Linked DNA regions of Coturnix japonica. The protein of the gene in region 1 purifies or fractionates together with the protein of each later gene. This does not show direct contact. Links are inferred from orthologs where the notes say so. Each region holds a gene or a part of one and is shown in the gene's direction. Other genes may lie near its edges.

The links. The genes of interacting proteins can lie anywhere in the genome.
Region 2: the proteins of ABI1 (region 1) and EPS8 purify together in Homo sapiens (affinity purification with western blotting; 4 studies listed by BioGRID, with this or other methods). This does not show direct contact. The link is inferred for Coturnix japonica from reciprocal best matches to the Homo sapiens genes ABI1 and EPS8.
Region 3: the proteins of ABI1 (region 1) and WASF1 purify together in Homo sapiens (affinity purification with mass spectrometry; 6 studies listed by BioGRID and IntAct, with this or other methods). This does not show direct contact. The link is inferred for Coturnix japonica from reciprocal best matches to the Homo sapiens genes ABI1 and WASF1.
Region 4: the proteins of ABI1 (region 1) and CYFIP2 purify together in Homo sapiens (co-immunoprecipitation; 4 studies listed by BioGRID and IntAct, with this or other methods). This does not show direct contact. The link is inferred for Coturnix japonica from reciprocal best matches to the Homo sapiens genes ABI1 and CYFIP2.

Annotation. Positions count from the first base shown.
Region 1 is NC_029517.1:14,486,412-14,490,527, forward strand, and holds the start of ABI1 (abl interactor 1), read left to right. Parts: upstream 1-1,316; 5' UTR 1,317-1,474; coding exon 1,475-1,591; intron 1,592-3,250; exon of another isoform or gene 3,251-3,265; coding exon of another isoform or gene 3,266-3,274; intron 3,275-4,116. UniProt on the Homo sapiens protein: May act in negative regulation of cell growth and transformation by interacting with nonreceptor tyrosine kinases ABL1 and/or ABL2. May play a role in regulation of EGF-induced Erk pathway activation. Involved in cytoskeletal reorganization and EGFR signaling.
Region 2 is NC_029516.1:57,642,518-57,646,017, reverse strand, and holds part of EPS8 (epidermal growth factor receptor kinase substrate 8), read left to right. Parts: intron 1-955; coding exon 956-1,038; intron 1,039-3,404; coding exon 3,405-3,500. UniProt on the Homo sapiens protein: Signaling adapter that controls various cellular protrusions by regulating actin cytoskeleton dynamics and architecture. Depending on its association with other signal transducers, can regulate different processes.
Region 3 is NC_029518.1:60,697,578-60,701,077, forward strand, and holds part of WASF1 (wiskott-Aldrich syndrome protein family member 1), read left to right. Parts: intron 1-1,086; coding exon 1,087-1,221; intron 1,222-3,500.
Region 4 is NC_029528.1:13,078,828-13,082,327, reverse strand, and holds part of CYFIP2 (cytoplasmic FMR1-interacting protein 2), read left to right. Parts: intron 1-13; coding exon 14-161; intron 162-722; coding exon 723-890; 3' UTR 891-3,500. UniProt on the Homo sapiens protein: Involved in T-cell adhesion and p53/TP53-dependent induction of apoptosis. Does not bind RNA. As component of the WAVE1 complex, required for BDNF-NTRK2 endocytic trafficking and signaling from early endosomes.

The DNA of each region.
Region 1 (4,116 bases):
AGGCCCTGGAGGGTGTCCAGAGAAGGGCAATCAATGAAGCTGATGAGGGTTCTAGAACACAAGGCTTGTGGGGAGTGCTAAGGGGTTGTTCAGACTAGAGGAGGCTCAGGGGAGACCTTCTCTCTCCCTCTATAACTGCCTGAAGGGAGGTTGTGAGGTGGAGGTCTGCCTCTTCTCCCAGGTAGCAACAGTAGCAGGGGAGGGAATGGCCTCAAGCTGCACTAGGGAAATCTCAGGTTGGATATTAGGAAAAACCCCTCAGAAAGAGCGGTGAGGCCCTGGAACGGGCTGCTATGGAGGCAGTGGAGTCACCATCCCATGAGAGAGGTGTTCAAGTAAAGAGTAGATGCAGCACTGAGGAACACGGTGAAAATGAGCTGATGGCAGGACTAGACGATCACAGAATCACAGACTGACCCGGGTTGGAAGGGACCTCAAGGATCATGTAGTTCCAACCCCCCTGCCTGGCAGGGCCACCAAACATACACCTTTACTAGATCAGGTTGCCCATGGCCCCGTCCAACTTGGCCTTGAACACCTCCAAGGACGGGGCATCCACAACCTCCCTGGGCAGCCTGTTCCAGGGCCTAACCACTCTCCTAGTGAAGAACTTCCCCCTAACATCCAACCTAAATCTTCCCTCTTTTAACTTAAAACCATTTCCCCTAGTCCTGCTATTGTCAGCCCTTTCGAAGAGTTTACTCCCCTCCTGGGAGTAAGTTCCCTTCAGGTATTGAAAGGCTGCAATGAGGTCACCCCGCAACCTTCTCCAGGCTGAACAAACCCAACTCCCTCAGCCTGTCCTCATAGGGAAGGTGCTCCAGCCCCCTGATCATCTTTGTGTCCCTCCTCTGGACCCTTTCCAAAATCTCCATGTCTTTTTTGTACTGAGGGCTCCACACCTGGACACAGTACAACAGATGGGGCCTCACAAGAGCCGAGTAGAGAGGGACGATCACCTCCCTATCCCTGCTGACCACCCCTCTCCTGATGGAGCCCAGGATCCCATTTGCTTTCCGGGATCTGAGAGGTTTCTCCGAACCTCCTACAACAGAGGCAGCAGCGCTTCCCCGATGGAGCCCTTTGCCTTCTGCTGAGGAGCCGACACTAACACAGCGCAGCAGGAGCGGACATGGGGCTTTTGTTGCCGCCTGACACAACACAACCCAGCTCAGACACCTCCATCCCCGCCGGGCGGCGCTGCCCGGCGCCATGACCGACCCCACCCCGCTCATGCGCACGGCGGGGCGGCCGGCGCCTACAGCTCCCGGCGTGCTCTGAGAGCGGGCGGGGTCTTGTCTCTTTTTTTTTTTCTTTCTTTTTATTTTTTTCCCCTGTGAGGGCAGGATGGGTGGGGATACTGAGCGCTCACGAAAGCGAGGCGAGGAGGAATCCCACAATACCAGGCGGGTTGTGAGCCCGGCGCTGCCGCTGTCTCTTTAATGCAAGAGGAAGCGATGCGGAGGGGTGGAAAATGGCAGAGTTGCAGATGTTACTAGAGGAGGAAATCCCTTCTGGCAAGCGGGCTCTGCTCGAGAGCTACCAGAACCTCACTCGAGTCGCCGACTACTGCGAAAACAACTACATCCAGGTGAGGGGCGGCTGTGGGGCGGGGTGGGATGGGTGCGTGGGGCCGGAGCCGCCTCGGGGGCAGCTCCGCCGCTCCCCCGGATTTGCCTTTTCTTTCAACTTTCGCTGCCGAACAACCGGCTTTCCCCCCCCCCCCCCCCCCCAGCCCGGCTCCGGAGGGGAAGGGAGGGGGTTTATTATATTATGTCAGTCCAGCTCGGAGGAGGAGGGTGTGTCTTTTTTTTTTTTAATATATTTTTTTCCTTCCTCCCCCTCCGTGTGTATTCCTCATGAGTCACATCCCGGAGACCTCCTTGGGCCGGGTGTGTGTGTTGGTGGGGGGGGGCGGCTTCTCCTTGCGGCCGGTTCGGAGCCGGCGCCTCGGGGGCTGCCCTCCCGGGGCGGCGGTTGGCGGCCGTTGGTGAGGCGGCCTCGCTCCATCCGCAGCGCCGCGGCCGAGCCTGGCGGGCACCGAGCAACGCCGTCCTCACAGGGAATCAACGGCGGTGGTGGCTCGTTCGGGCCGTGGGTCGCCGTCTTGTAGTGCCGCAACGCGGGGCTGGTCGCCGAAACGGGCGGCGTGTGGGAGCTGGGAGCGCCCGTGTGCGGGGACTGACGGGCGGGCGTGATGTGGTGTTTCAAAATGGCAATCCGTGCCGCGGTCCGACATCCTGGAGCTGCTGCTGCTGGAGGCTCCGGGGCTGCGGCGTGTCCACAGCGCCCGGCGTGGGCTTTTTCCGTGCATGGCCCGTGCTTCCTGCTCTTCACTTACGGCTGATTTAGTGCAACTACCTCCAGCTTTTCTGTCATTATTATTATTATTTTTTGGTCAAGATTTGCAGCTCACGACTCTGAATGTGAGTCTGAGTATACAGCCATGCCAATGTGGATGTGGAACCGTCAGGAAATGTTCAAATCAAACCTCTTTTGGGAAAGAAAAATGGCAAGGGAAGGCAAATAATTTTCCCTTTACTAGAAGCACTGCTCGTGCAGTGAACTTGTTGAACCTAACAGTGGATTTACTCGTGTATTAGAGGCCCTAGCACTGCTGCCCAGAGAGCAGTGGGTGCCCCGTCCCTGGATATACTCAAGGCTGGGCTGGATGGAGCCCTGGGCAGCCTGAGCTGCTGGCTGGGAAGCAGCCCATGGCAGGGGTGGAACTGGGTAGACAGTCTGTAAGGCCCCTTCCAACCAAAGCTATGCTAGGGTTACCTACAGCGAGCATTTAATACAGGTTATTCACATCTTTGTCATCTACTGTTGCCAGTGAGCTGTCTTACTGCTTGTAGCAATGGAACAGTGAATCTGAAAATAAAGCTTTAACAACTCAGTGTGAATTTCTTTTTTATTTTATTTTATTTTTATTTTTAGTGATTTTGATGCTCAGATTAAAACTGCACCAACAAGTCATATTTTGAGGCGTTTTGTTATTTTTGGTATGTGAGGGAACATGAGTTAATGTGTATTTACTCTTCCGATTTGTTTGCTCCACCCAGAGAAAGCTGCTGATAGAAATGCTTCTACGAGGCGAGGTTCATTTGGTTTTACTCATGGGAAATATGACAAATACTTAAGTGTGGTAACCGCGGCACAAGTTTTGACCTGCCTGCTGCTGCTCCCAACTTGCTGCTGCTCCTGACTTTTTCCTCTGTGTCAGAAAGTTAGAGATGCTTCAGTCAGATTGCTGTTCAGGGCCATGGAACTTGTGAGTCTTAATGCAGACAAAGAAATAAACCGACACTTGGGGTAGTTACCTTCCATGCGCTTGGGGGTGGTGTGTTTTCATTTTATTTTTAAGTCTGGTAGCTGACTTTCACCTCGGGTACCAATATAGGCTGCAGGGATTGCTGCAGCATGGTCTGTCTGCATACAGCTGTGTTTACCTCTTTGGAAGGAAGCTGACATTCTGAAGTTCCTAATGAGGACTTACGCAGTAGCTCTGAAAAACGTATGCCTGGCTATGTTGTGGATGTGTCACGCATTTACTCAACTTGGTAAAAATGACAAATGTATTGATAAAACTACATTTACTGTCTTAGAGTGGTAAAGGCGGACTTTTTAATCAGCGCTTGGTGCCAAGCCATCTGCTCTCCAGTTGGAGCGCGGAGCAGATCGTGGTGGTGAGGCTGCGGGAGGATTAGGCAGCGTGACACGGGGTGCTGGGTTATGAGAATGGGGAGAGCATGTGTTTATATGGGATTGGAAAGGGGGTGAGAAGAAAGAGGAAGAGGCTTAACACAAAATACAAGTGCTTGCATTTCATATAGTGGGACAGCTAACTACCAATCAATGCATCAGGGTGCATTTACTTAAATAATAATAATAGTCCAGAACAAAGAACATGGGTATTGAGTGTTAAAAGAGTTCGGAAGTGGATGTGCATTGTAGCTTGGCCCATAGCATGTAACTGTTTCACTCTGGTTAGCTTTGAATTTGAGCCATTTACTTTCTTTCTTCGGAAAAGTCTCTGTGCTCCTCAATGGGGAAACTGTTCCTGTGTGTTACCACCTGTGCTGTGTTGTAGTGTGGGGGTGGAACGGGTGCCTG
Region 2 (3,500 bases), on another chromosome or scaffold:
TTTTGGTCAGTCGGTATTTTCTAGAAAAACACAATTGTTAAATAATAAATATAAATAGTGAAATTCATGAAATGCTTTTGTTCCTCAAAGCCTGTCAAGGTGTTCAATTAATTCTTTAACCCTCATCTATCCCACTGTAGTCTGAAAAGTCTGTTAATCTCTAAATTCAATGTAGTTTTGTCCCAGCAGTTATATATTCTTCCTAAGAAGTTAGATGTTTTTATTCCAAGGTAGAAGTGGGACTTGTAGAATGAACTAGGCATGGACAGATTTGGGTCTTGACAAGCTGTATAGGAAATTAATTTGTCAGCTCAAGATATGTAACAGAGCATCCTAAATCCTGTGAGAAGCTGTGACCTATTTAATGCAAGGTCTATTAAAATAATGCCGTATCAGAATTTCTCTTGTAGGCCTCCGGTGGGGGCAGATTCCAGTGATGGAGATATAGGAACCTAAAGTTCAGGAAATATACTGAAAAATTCATCTTTATTAAGCTAAAGAGAAATTGGAGGCTACCTTCTTACAGGAGACTGCATTACTACTAGTTATTTTCCAGATTCTCATGCTACCATTATTTATTGACAGAAAAAAAAATAAAAAAATAAATAATAATTAATTAAAAAAAAAATGGAGAGGGAAAAATAGCTCATGCAGTAATTGCTGACTTTGGATAATTACAACTGTTCAGACAAATTTAGTATCTAGATAACACATCCACCTGATGATAATGTTTGAGCCTGGAAAAGTGACTAAAGTACCAGCTCCCAGAGAATGGTACCGTGTTTTCTTTGTTCTGTTTCCATACAAATCCCAGCTTTTTTTCTTTTTTAAAATGGAATACGATAAGAGGTTCTGTAATCAACAGATAACTTCATGAAGTACATGATGAGATCATTAATTCATATATCTGCTTAGTCTAGATGAGAACTGACAGACTCTGCTTCTGTCTCTTCAGGCTAGCTTTATTCATGAAGATATAGAAAGTGCAATCAGTGACAGCAAGAGTGGAAAACAGAAGAAGAGACTTGAAACACTGAGGTAAAAACCTAGTTTCTTGGCAGTATAGGGCGTCATGAAGCATGCCCCAAGTTTGTCTGCTGTTTCTTTCTCTTTTGTTTTGTCTAGTTGATAATATACTTCAAAAAGCATATGTGGTGGATTTGACTTACTACGTCAAGCTCTCTTGGATTATAGTTTCACTCTTTACTTTCCCAATTCTGCTTTAGTAAGTGGAACAGCTGACGTGAATGCAGGTTGCTAGAGAATAGCATTATGTGTCTTGAGTTCTGTATTTGGGTAAAGTAGTTCAAAATTTGAATTAAATATATAAATGTTCCCAAATTCCAAGTAAGGAAAGTTTGGGGATCTGAAGATGTTAAAGAAAACAACAACTAAAGATGAAAAAAAAACTCCTGCCTGCTTATTGACTCGAAAAACTTGTTTCCCCGGTAGGAAAAATTTCTCTCCCAATTGGAAAAAGTGGAGTAAAAGGGTCTGTTGGCTTCAGATTATTACAGAAATGAGCAGTAGCTGGTGCAGGCATAGAAACAAGGGCACAAATATGTTAAGTACTGAATAGGATGGTGGTGGTCTGTGTGCTGCATCCTGAAGATATTCTCAATAATATTTCTCTGGCTCAGTAAGAGAATTCTCTGCTGTACAAAAATCTTCAAGTAAAAATGTCACTATTATATAAATTTATTGCTGCCTTAGTTGCCTATTAAATTCTGATGTGCAACTTGTGTTGTTTTCATAGAATGATGGACACTTACATTGAAATGAAAAATATAAAGGAAGAAGTGCATCAAATTTTACATATGGGTTTAAAATTAAGCAAGTAGGCTTTAATGTTTGAGGTATGGTAACAGATAAGTGTAAGCACAGAGATGTGTATCACAAGGATTCAAGCACTTTGGGTGTGGGGGAAGGCTGATGAGATTTAATTAGGAAATGAATGTAGGTCAGTACATCCACAGGGAAAAGTAATCTGACATATCAGTCTCTAAAAGCTTTGAGGCCTAAAGGTCATTAGTGCATGACAGTTCAGTGCTAGATACTTGCTGTCATGTCATGTATGTGTTAACATTGGGCCACGAGAAGAAAGCATTTTCTAGATGGGTCCTGTTTGACTAGTCTGGAGATACTGTAGTAAGTCTGGCACTGCACCATCAAATTGCTGCAAGATTATTTGCAAGTAAAAAAGTGTAGGAGATACAAAAGAGAATGCTCAGGAAACTCTAGGAGACCGGAGGAAGGAACTGTGAAGAAACCATCTTTTTTTTTATGAATGACCAAATTGTGTTTTTGCTGTTGTTGAATGCCATGAATGAGATGGGATCATAAAGTGAAGAATTTAAGATGAAGATCCTTCTTTTAAATAGGGATGGAATGTGCATTTCAAAGGATTTGTTGGGATTTTTTGTCTTTTGATACTGAATTACAGAATGACTTCAAAGATCTCTTTCCTTGTGGTTTGATCTCTTTCCTTATGGTTTTTAAAGGCGGATTAAGAACCAGAAAAGTGGAAAAATGATTTTAAATTGAGACAGGGGAGGTTTAGGTTAGAGATTGGAAGGAATTTTTTCACACAGAGATTGTTGATGCACTGGAACAGGTTGCCCAAGGAGGTTGTAGATGCCCCATCCCTGGAGGCATTCAAGGCCAGGCTGGATGTGACTCTGGGCAGCCTGGTCTGGTGGTTGGTGACCCTGCACATAGCAGGGGGTTGAAACTGGATGATCATTGTGGTCCTTTTCAACCCTGGCCATTCTATGATTCTATGAAAATTCAAAATAGGAATAGTCATACATTTGCATCAAGATAGGATGAACAGATTGATCTAAAAAGGAAAATCATCCTGTGAATGTTTTTGTTGGTAGGGTTTTAAGAAGCTGTTCGTTGTCAACCCATCAAACATAAGGAACAGGTACACAACTGATGATGGCTGAAAGATGACTCTGAATGAAGAATTTAGAACAGTATTCAAGTCTAACTATCAGTACACAAAGCACAGCTTCTAGCCATAGAAGCAATCAGATCTCTAGACAGCACATTTTCTGTCAGTGCTTTGGAATTTACCATAGAATCATTAAGGTTGGAAAAGACCACTAAGGTCATCAAGTCCAACAATCAACCCATCACCCCTTTTCCCACTAAACTGTGTCCCATATATGGGCTGCGTGAAAGACTATTTGTTTTATTGATGCACATTTTTCTAACTTCATCATAGCAAGGGTTTCCTGTTATGTTTTATCTATTTACATACCCTGACCTTTAGTACTTGTGACTTGGCAAGTCCATAGCATGTTTGACAGTAAAAGGGTCCTGGTAAACCTTGTTTTCTTCTCTGATTACGCACTAGAAATGTGTTGACTTCACTGATGGGCCCCTTTGTCTTCCTGCAGGATGATCTCCAGTGCTGATGGCGCTATCCCTCCACCACCACGGGCTCCTGCCCCTGTTCCCCCAGGGACTGTCACCCAGGTGGATGTGAGAAGCCG
Region 3 (3,500 bases), on another chromosome or scaffold:
GGAAAAAACTTCCAAGATCATCCAGTCCAACCAACCACCTACCACCAGTATTTCCCCACTAAACCATATCCCTCAGTACAACATTTAAATGTTTCTTGAACACCTCCAGGGATGGTGACTCAACCACCTCTCACGTGGCATATTCCAGTGCCTGACCATTCCTTTTGAGAAGAAATTTTTCCTAGCATCCAATCTTAATATCTCTGACAAGGGAGATGGGGACCTTGGGCTATAAGGTCTCCCTTAGCCTCCTCTTCTCCAGACTAAACAATCCTGGTTTCTTCAGCTGCTCCTCATAAGAGTTGTTCTCCAGACCTCCATCCATTTGGTATCCTTAAATAGCTGACAAACCACCTGTGGCAATTTAACTTTTCCTTTTAATGTCCTTGTGTCCTCATTTTTATTTAGAACATTACTAAGCCTTTTCTCAGACCTGAATCTCCTTATCTGCTGGACTAAAAGTGATGTCCATTGAACTGAACAAAAGGAATTCTTATTCTACTTCAGTGTAAATTAGCCACTTACTAGAATTTTGACCTTTCAAAGTATAGTGTATTATTCTAATGTGCATTTTTGATTAGGTTGTTTCTAATAAACTTAGAAGTAGACGTCTGATCTATCATTTTTGAAAGGTCTTCTGAACCACAGGAGTGGGAGCTGTGCTTTAAGAAATGTGATTGATTTCACCTGGAAAGTTCAGTTAATGCTCATACAGAGGCAGCTTTAAAAGCTGTAGATCATCCTTTTATGCAAATCCAAGAAGCTAGTTGGTCTAGCTCCTTGGATATCTGCATAGTTGGGTCAATTTAAACCAGCTGAATGTCTGTCGTGTAATGTATGAAATAATTTCATTTATGATAAGTAAATTAATTTCTAATTTTTAAAAATTTTTTTTTAGTAATTTCTACTATTTAACTTTTATTTACATTTTTGAAGCATTCTGAATTTGCTTTGTAAGTGTAGGCTGTTGGAAATTGTAGTCATGCACCTGAAATGTACTTATTCTGTAGTTATCAGAAATCATTCTAAAGGCAAGCTTGTCTTGTGGGGTATGCCTGCTTATCTTTTTATTCTTTTCTGTTTTAGGTAAATATGCTGAAGATATATTTGGCGAACTTTTCAATGAAGCGCACAGTTTCTCATTTAGAGTCAACTCCTTACAAGAACGTGTAGATCGCCTGTCTGTCAGTGTTACACAACTTGATCCAAAAGAAGAGGAATGTAAGTTAAGACCTGTACTGAAGGCTTCTTATTTTGTCACTCAAACATCGCCGATACATAAAATAGAAATAATAATAAACTACATTTATAAGAACACAGGGCAAAATATGACAGTGATGTTTGTTTGAAAACGTGTAACTTTAGTACTATTGTGATTCATATTAATAGTAGTGCTTTGTAACATTATTGGAAATCCTGGGAGTATGCCTTCATTTTATATTTTTAACCTTCCTAATGATTGCCTTGGTATGTAATTGTTTGTCCAGATAGGGTTTTTGCATTTAACTTGATAGCATCTTAGATTGTATGTAAAGTTATATACTATTCCCCCAAATTTTTCCTAAGTTGCTTTAAGTAATACGAAGATTAGTGGCCCAAAGAAAACAAGTACTTCTGACACTCAATAGGATGTAGCTTGTGCTTACAAAATAGAATTTTTATTGGATTTAAATGGTATGCGAGCTTTGTGATGTGTCTATATGACAATAAGATTAGCTAATACTCAAATAGGAAACTTTTTTGCCTTCCTAGATATCTCTTGGTTACATGGGGAAATAAGGAAAGATCCTGTAACCCCAGTTAGTAGGGTATTCTAGGCTACATGTTTGAAATGTGGAAAATAGAGCAGCATCTGGTTATGAAAAATAACTTCTGATGGAATGTGGTATCCAATTCTAAAGTGTAGAAAGCTGTTTCAGTTCTGAATGTGTAGGTATGATAGTGGTGTGTCATTCAGGAAAAATGAAGTGTCAGAGCAGTAACGTGGTCTTTGGCTGCGTCCTTTTACGTATGTTGAAATTTCACTATTAAGAAAAATCAAATTAAGGAAATTTAGATTCTGTACTTTGCATGACATTTATTTTAGAGCAGGTTTCAAAATACAGCTGTTAACAGCTAGTAGCAGATTTTCCACAAAACCATGGCTTGCCTAAGGGAATTCTTACATAAATGGGATTTTCCAAGTCTCTTGACAGCTGAGCATAAATCATACACACTTCTTTTTCCAATAAAATGCCATATTTACTATGATTGGATAATGGCAAAAATCCTTTTTGTGTACAATAATAGATTGTCAGCAATTGTAATCCTTTAATGGCTATAACACACCAGATTGCTAATGTCACTTCCACATTTACCCTGAACGACATAGTTACTGTTATAATCAGAGTGGCATTTGTGTTGATACGACTGGTCTGGTATGGCAGCCATTCGCATTCCTGGTTTAATTTGGAGACTATACAGTTAAAACGTCTTAAGGATGTCACAGGATAACAAGATGGAAATTTGTACTTTCCAGTAAGTGGCCTTTGACAAGTTTGGTTGTAGGTTTCATTACTAAATATTCAAACCTATTTGATGCTAGAGAATTGCTGGAAGTATTTTTAAAGACAGTATATTCCAGATGCACTAGATTATAACTTTTCGAAGTGCTGCATATTTTGTGTGATATATTTATTAAAGTGTGTTTGTAAGAAAAGGGGCAGATGTTGCAATTCAAGAAAACTGAGCTACAGATAAGTCTGCTTGATCCAGGCCAGAGTGACTAAATGTGACTTGAATCTGATACCCTGGATTTGTCTCTTACTCTATAAGAGAGCTGTGATGGTTCATGCATCAGAAGAACACATGCAGTCCTCAGTGCTGGGAGCTATTAAATGACTCCTTTTATTAACATAAGAAGTCCTTGAGCCATACCCAGTGTTCCTTATTCACAAATGTCTGTCCTGGATGAGTAACCAGACGAGGTTAAATGTGATGAGTAGAAAACAGTATATTTTCTCAAAGAACAGGGATTGGGAAACCTTTTCACTTTCAGTATCCTCTTTTGCACTCAAAATTTACAAGTTTATCACAAATGATCTTGTATTAGCCCTGGTCTGTGCTAAAATGTGCTAGAGAATGGTAGTGCTTAAAGACTGGGGAAGGCATTTGAACTTATCTCGCATTTTCCTTACTCTCTGTGCAAGAATTAAGCAAATTTCAGTATTTCTGTTCAGCTAACAGCATGTGTAAAATGGGCTATACTTACAAAATGAGTCTCATTTGATAGTTCTTTGCCAGCAGGCAGTAATAGAAGATGTAATGGGTTCCTTTGGGCCCAGTGCTATTACACAAGGGGAAAATAAAAAGATTCATTTAAAGCTAAGCAGCATGAACAAGCCCAGCCCAAGTCAGATTCACTAAAAAAGGTGCAGATGCTTGACAGGTGTTTCTGATGGAGTTAAAGAAGGAAAAAAAGCTCTGCATGTTTTGAGTAGTCTGTGTTTTCTCGTATTTTC
Region 4 (3,500 bases), on another chromosome or scaffold:
GTCCCCATTCTAGGCAGTGCTTTGGAGATGGTCTGAATTGGGCAGGTTGTTCTATCATTGTTCTCCTTGGACAACAACGACGCTTTGACCTATTTGACTTCTGCTACCACCTGCTGAAGGTGCAGAGGCAGGACGGGAAGGATGAAATCATTAAAAATGTGGTAAGTTGAAGGGTAAGGCTCTGAAAGACTTGAGCTAGCACACATCTCTGTTTTTTGATTTGCCTTGTTCAAACTTATAACTTACAAACTTTCCAGGCATTGATCTTATTCAAGCTGAATATGCTTGCTGTGAGATATCCACCTGCAGTCTCAGCAGAGAGGCCAGGATTTTAATTGGCTTGACAATCAAATCTTTCTTCTCCCAAAGCTTTTCCTTTCTTCCTGGGGTTGGGAAGCTGGAGCAGAGAAGCTGGTACTTCCATCAACCATTATCTGATCTCTGCGGCTTCATCAATAAGCAGCTGGGAGTCCAGACTCTAGATCGATTTACATAGAACCACACACTGACCTTGTTAATTCTGTCTTGAGTCATCAAACCCCAAAATGAAGTGAGTCACCAGTCTCATGGTAGCTGCTAAGTGGAACTGTAACACGTGCTATAGCTGCTTTGTATTAGCAGAGGTTTCTCAGCAGCAGGGCAGATGTACTGATGCTTTCTGGCTGGTTAAATGACATAAGACTCTCTTGACCTACTGTTTTTCCTTCTCACCATTCCTCCAGCCCTTGAAAAAGATGGCTGACAGGATAAGGAAGTATCAGATCCTCAACAATGAGATTTTTGCCATCCTGAACAAGTACATGAAGTCAGTGGAAACAGACAGTTCCACAGTGGAGCACGTGCGCTGCTTCCAGCCTCCCATTCACCAGTCACTGGCCACCACCTGCTAGTGTGACACTAACCCTGTGTGCTTTGGGAAGGGAGAAGAGACTGAGCCCAGGATGACTGGGAGGATGAACTTGATGGCGTGAGACCTGGCAACAAAGTAAGACTGGGTATGCTCACTACAAGGACTTATCTTCCCATCTGGCCCTGTTGAGTGCATGTTCTTCTGTTCCATCCCTGTGACCAATTTTACTTGTAACTTTTGGACTTGGGAGTGGGTGGGGGTGGGAGGTTGAAATGTGCTTTTCTTCCATGAAATCTGGTTTTCCCTGTGATTCATCCAGCCAAACACAAAAATCTGAAGCCATATTGCAGCCCCAAAGGTGGGGGACCCTTTCAGAAGAGCTGCGTGTTTCTACTGCACTGGGAGCCCCATCTCACTGCAGAAGCAATGGGGAAAAATCAACCCCACTCATGACACGTGCCACCAGGGCTGAAGACAGACCCTGACTTCTTTTTGGGAATTGGGGGGGATGAAGGCAGGATTCCACCTATAGCAGCAGCCTCAGGAAGGAGCAGTGCAGAGGAGCCATGCCAGAATGGTTGTGGATTTCTTCTTGCTCTCTGCCAAGTCATTGGCCTTCCTAGCATCTGGCACCTGGGCTTCAGAATAGCAATGATGTAGCTGCCAAATAATTCTTCAGCACTTCAGAGAGCTGGAGGAATCAAAAAAGGCCTGTTTTGGTTTTTTTTTTTTCCCCTGCTATTGGGATGTCTGCTTATTTTATTTCAAAGGGTTCTCCCTCGAAGACACATCTTCCATGAAGTAAATGAAATTTCTTATGGACCATAGAAGGGGTTGTATTGGATTCATGTGAATATGCTTTTGCACATACTAACTTGGGTGGAAACAGACACCAATCCTGACAGGAGGCAGTTGTATTTACCTTGACCATATGTGATCTTTGAAATTCAGCCAAGGATGAGAGCTGGGATGTGTAATTTTTGTATGTTCTGACATGCTGTTTTCCCTTGTTTTAAACAAATTTTTAGTCACAGCAACTACTTCTTAAGAGAATGGTGTCTATCAGGAAGGCTTAGTAAACTTCCTAGCGCACAGAAATGGTGTGATTCTTTAGAAAAGGTAAATCATAGGATAAGCATAATGAAAACAGCATTTTCCAGGCTCAAAATCATTGTGAGGGAATGCTGGAATCTGTTTCCTGTTCCTACTCAGCTCATCTAATATGTCTGGATATATTAGATACTGAGAACAAATTCAGTAGGGACTTGAGGAGATATTAAAAGCTTGTGGTTTTCCCTGCTTCCCCTTGGTGCTGACACTGCAGTGACACAAAACCTTATGCCTGAATCTAAAGATCAAACCACATGCTCCAAATTATGCTAATGTCACCACTGGTGATATTTTTATTTCTCAGCTTTAGCCAGGACATCGCAGATATTTACCATTCAAATAGACAGACTTGGTAATACATGTTCTTTTCATGTGTTCCATCATGCCCAGAAACCTGCATGCTACTACAGATGTTGAAATGGCAGAGCCTGAGTCCTTATTCTCTCAAAGAAAATACATAACTAATTAGTAGAAACACCCCAGCTGGAATGCACTGTCTTAGAAAACAACAGCCAGCACTGTACTAGTGCTAAAGGAGATCCTGCTGTGTGGGATGCATTTGTTCTCCCAAACATGCACTCCCTCATAATCAACAAATAACCCACACGTGCAAGTGCTAGATATCTTTACACCTCAGTTCTCCATTAATTGCTGAGACAAATGCTTGAACCTCTGGGAGGAAGCAGTGCAGCACAGTAATCTGATAGTCAAATAGCATCTCAGGAGATCAGGCTGAACCCCTTGGGTGCCAGGGAAGGATCCAGCCTCTGGAGGCAAGTTGTTTTCCTCACATGGTGAAGAAGAGCACCACAAGAGTGCCCAAGACCCAACAATACCAAAGGACTCCTGCTCTCTATTTACTTTCTCCACTAAGGATGCCAGTTCTGGTTTTCCATCACGTTCCAACACTTCACAATGCTGAAACTACTGGAATGAGGGAGCTTACAGATATATATTTTTAAAAGGAAGAGGAGAATTGAGCACTTTATTTTTTGTGGAAAACAAGATATGAGGAATATAGATCCAACCAAGATCCTATTTTCCTGACCTAAATAGCAAGTGCTTGTTATTTTGGTATGAAAGTGTTGCTGGTGAAGCAGCACAGATCCCTGACTGGCTCTCAGAGCCGTTTCTGAGCACAGCACAAATTGAATGTTCTATGATGTCTTGATACGTTATAGGATGTTGGAGCCTTGGCAGAAACCAGCAGGAGCAAGAACACAAAAGGATGAGCTATGCCACACAGCCCAGTCACAGCTAGATGGAAAGAACAGGATACCCTAAGTTGAATATAAGTGTCTGTTTAGGTTTGCAGTGAGACAGAAGATTTTTACCTAAACATGACTCTAACTGCATTCTTTTGCTGTAGCTTTGGCTTAATTCTCTTAAAAAAAAACCACAAACCCTGCAAAACGCAGTTGGGTGTATTTGAATGAAAAGGTAAAGGAAACCTACATTTTTTTTGCCCTCAGATTTGCTGTCAGAAACAAACCCCTTCTGATTCTGAGGGATGAAACATTATGAGCAAAATGTCCAAAGT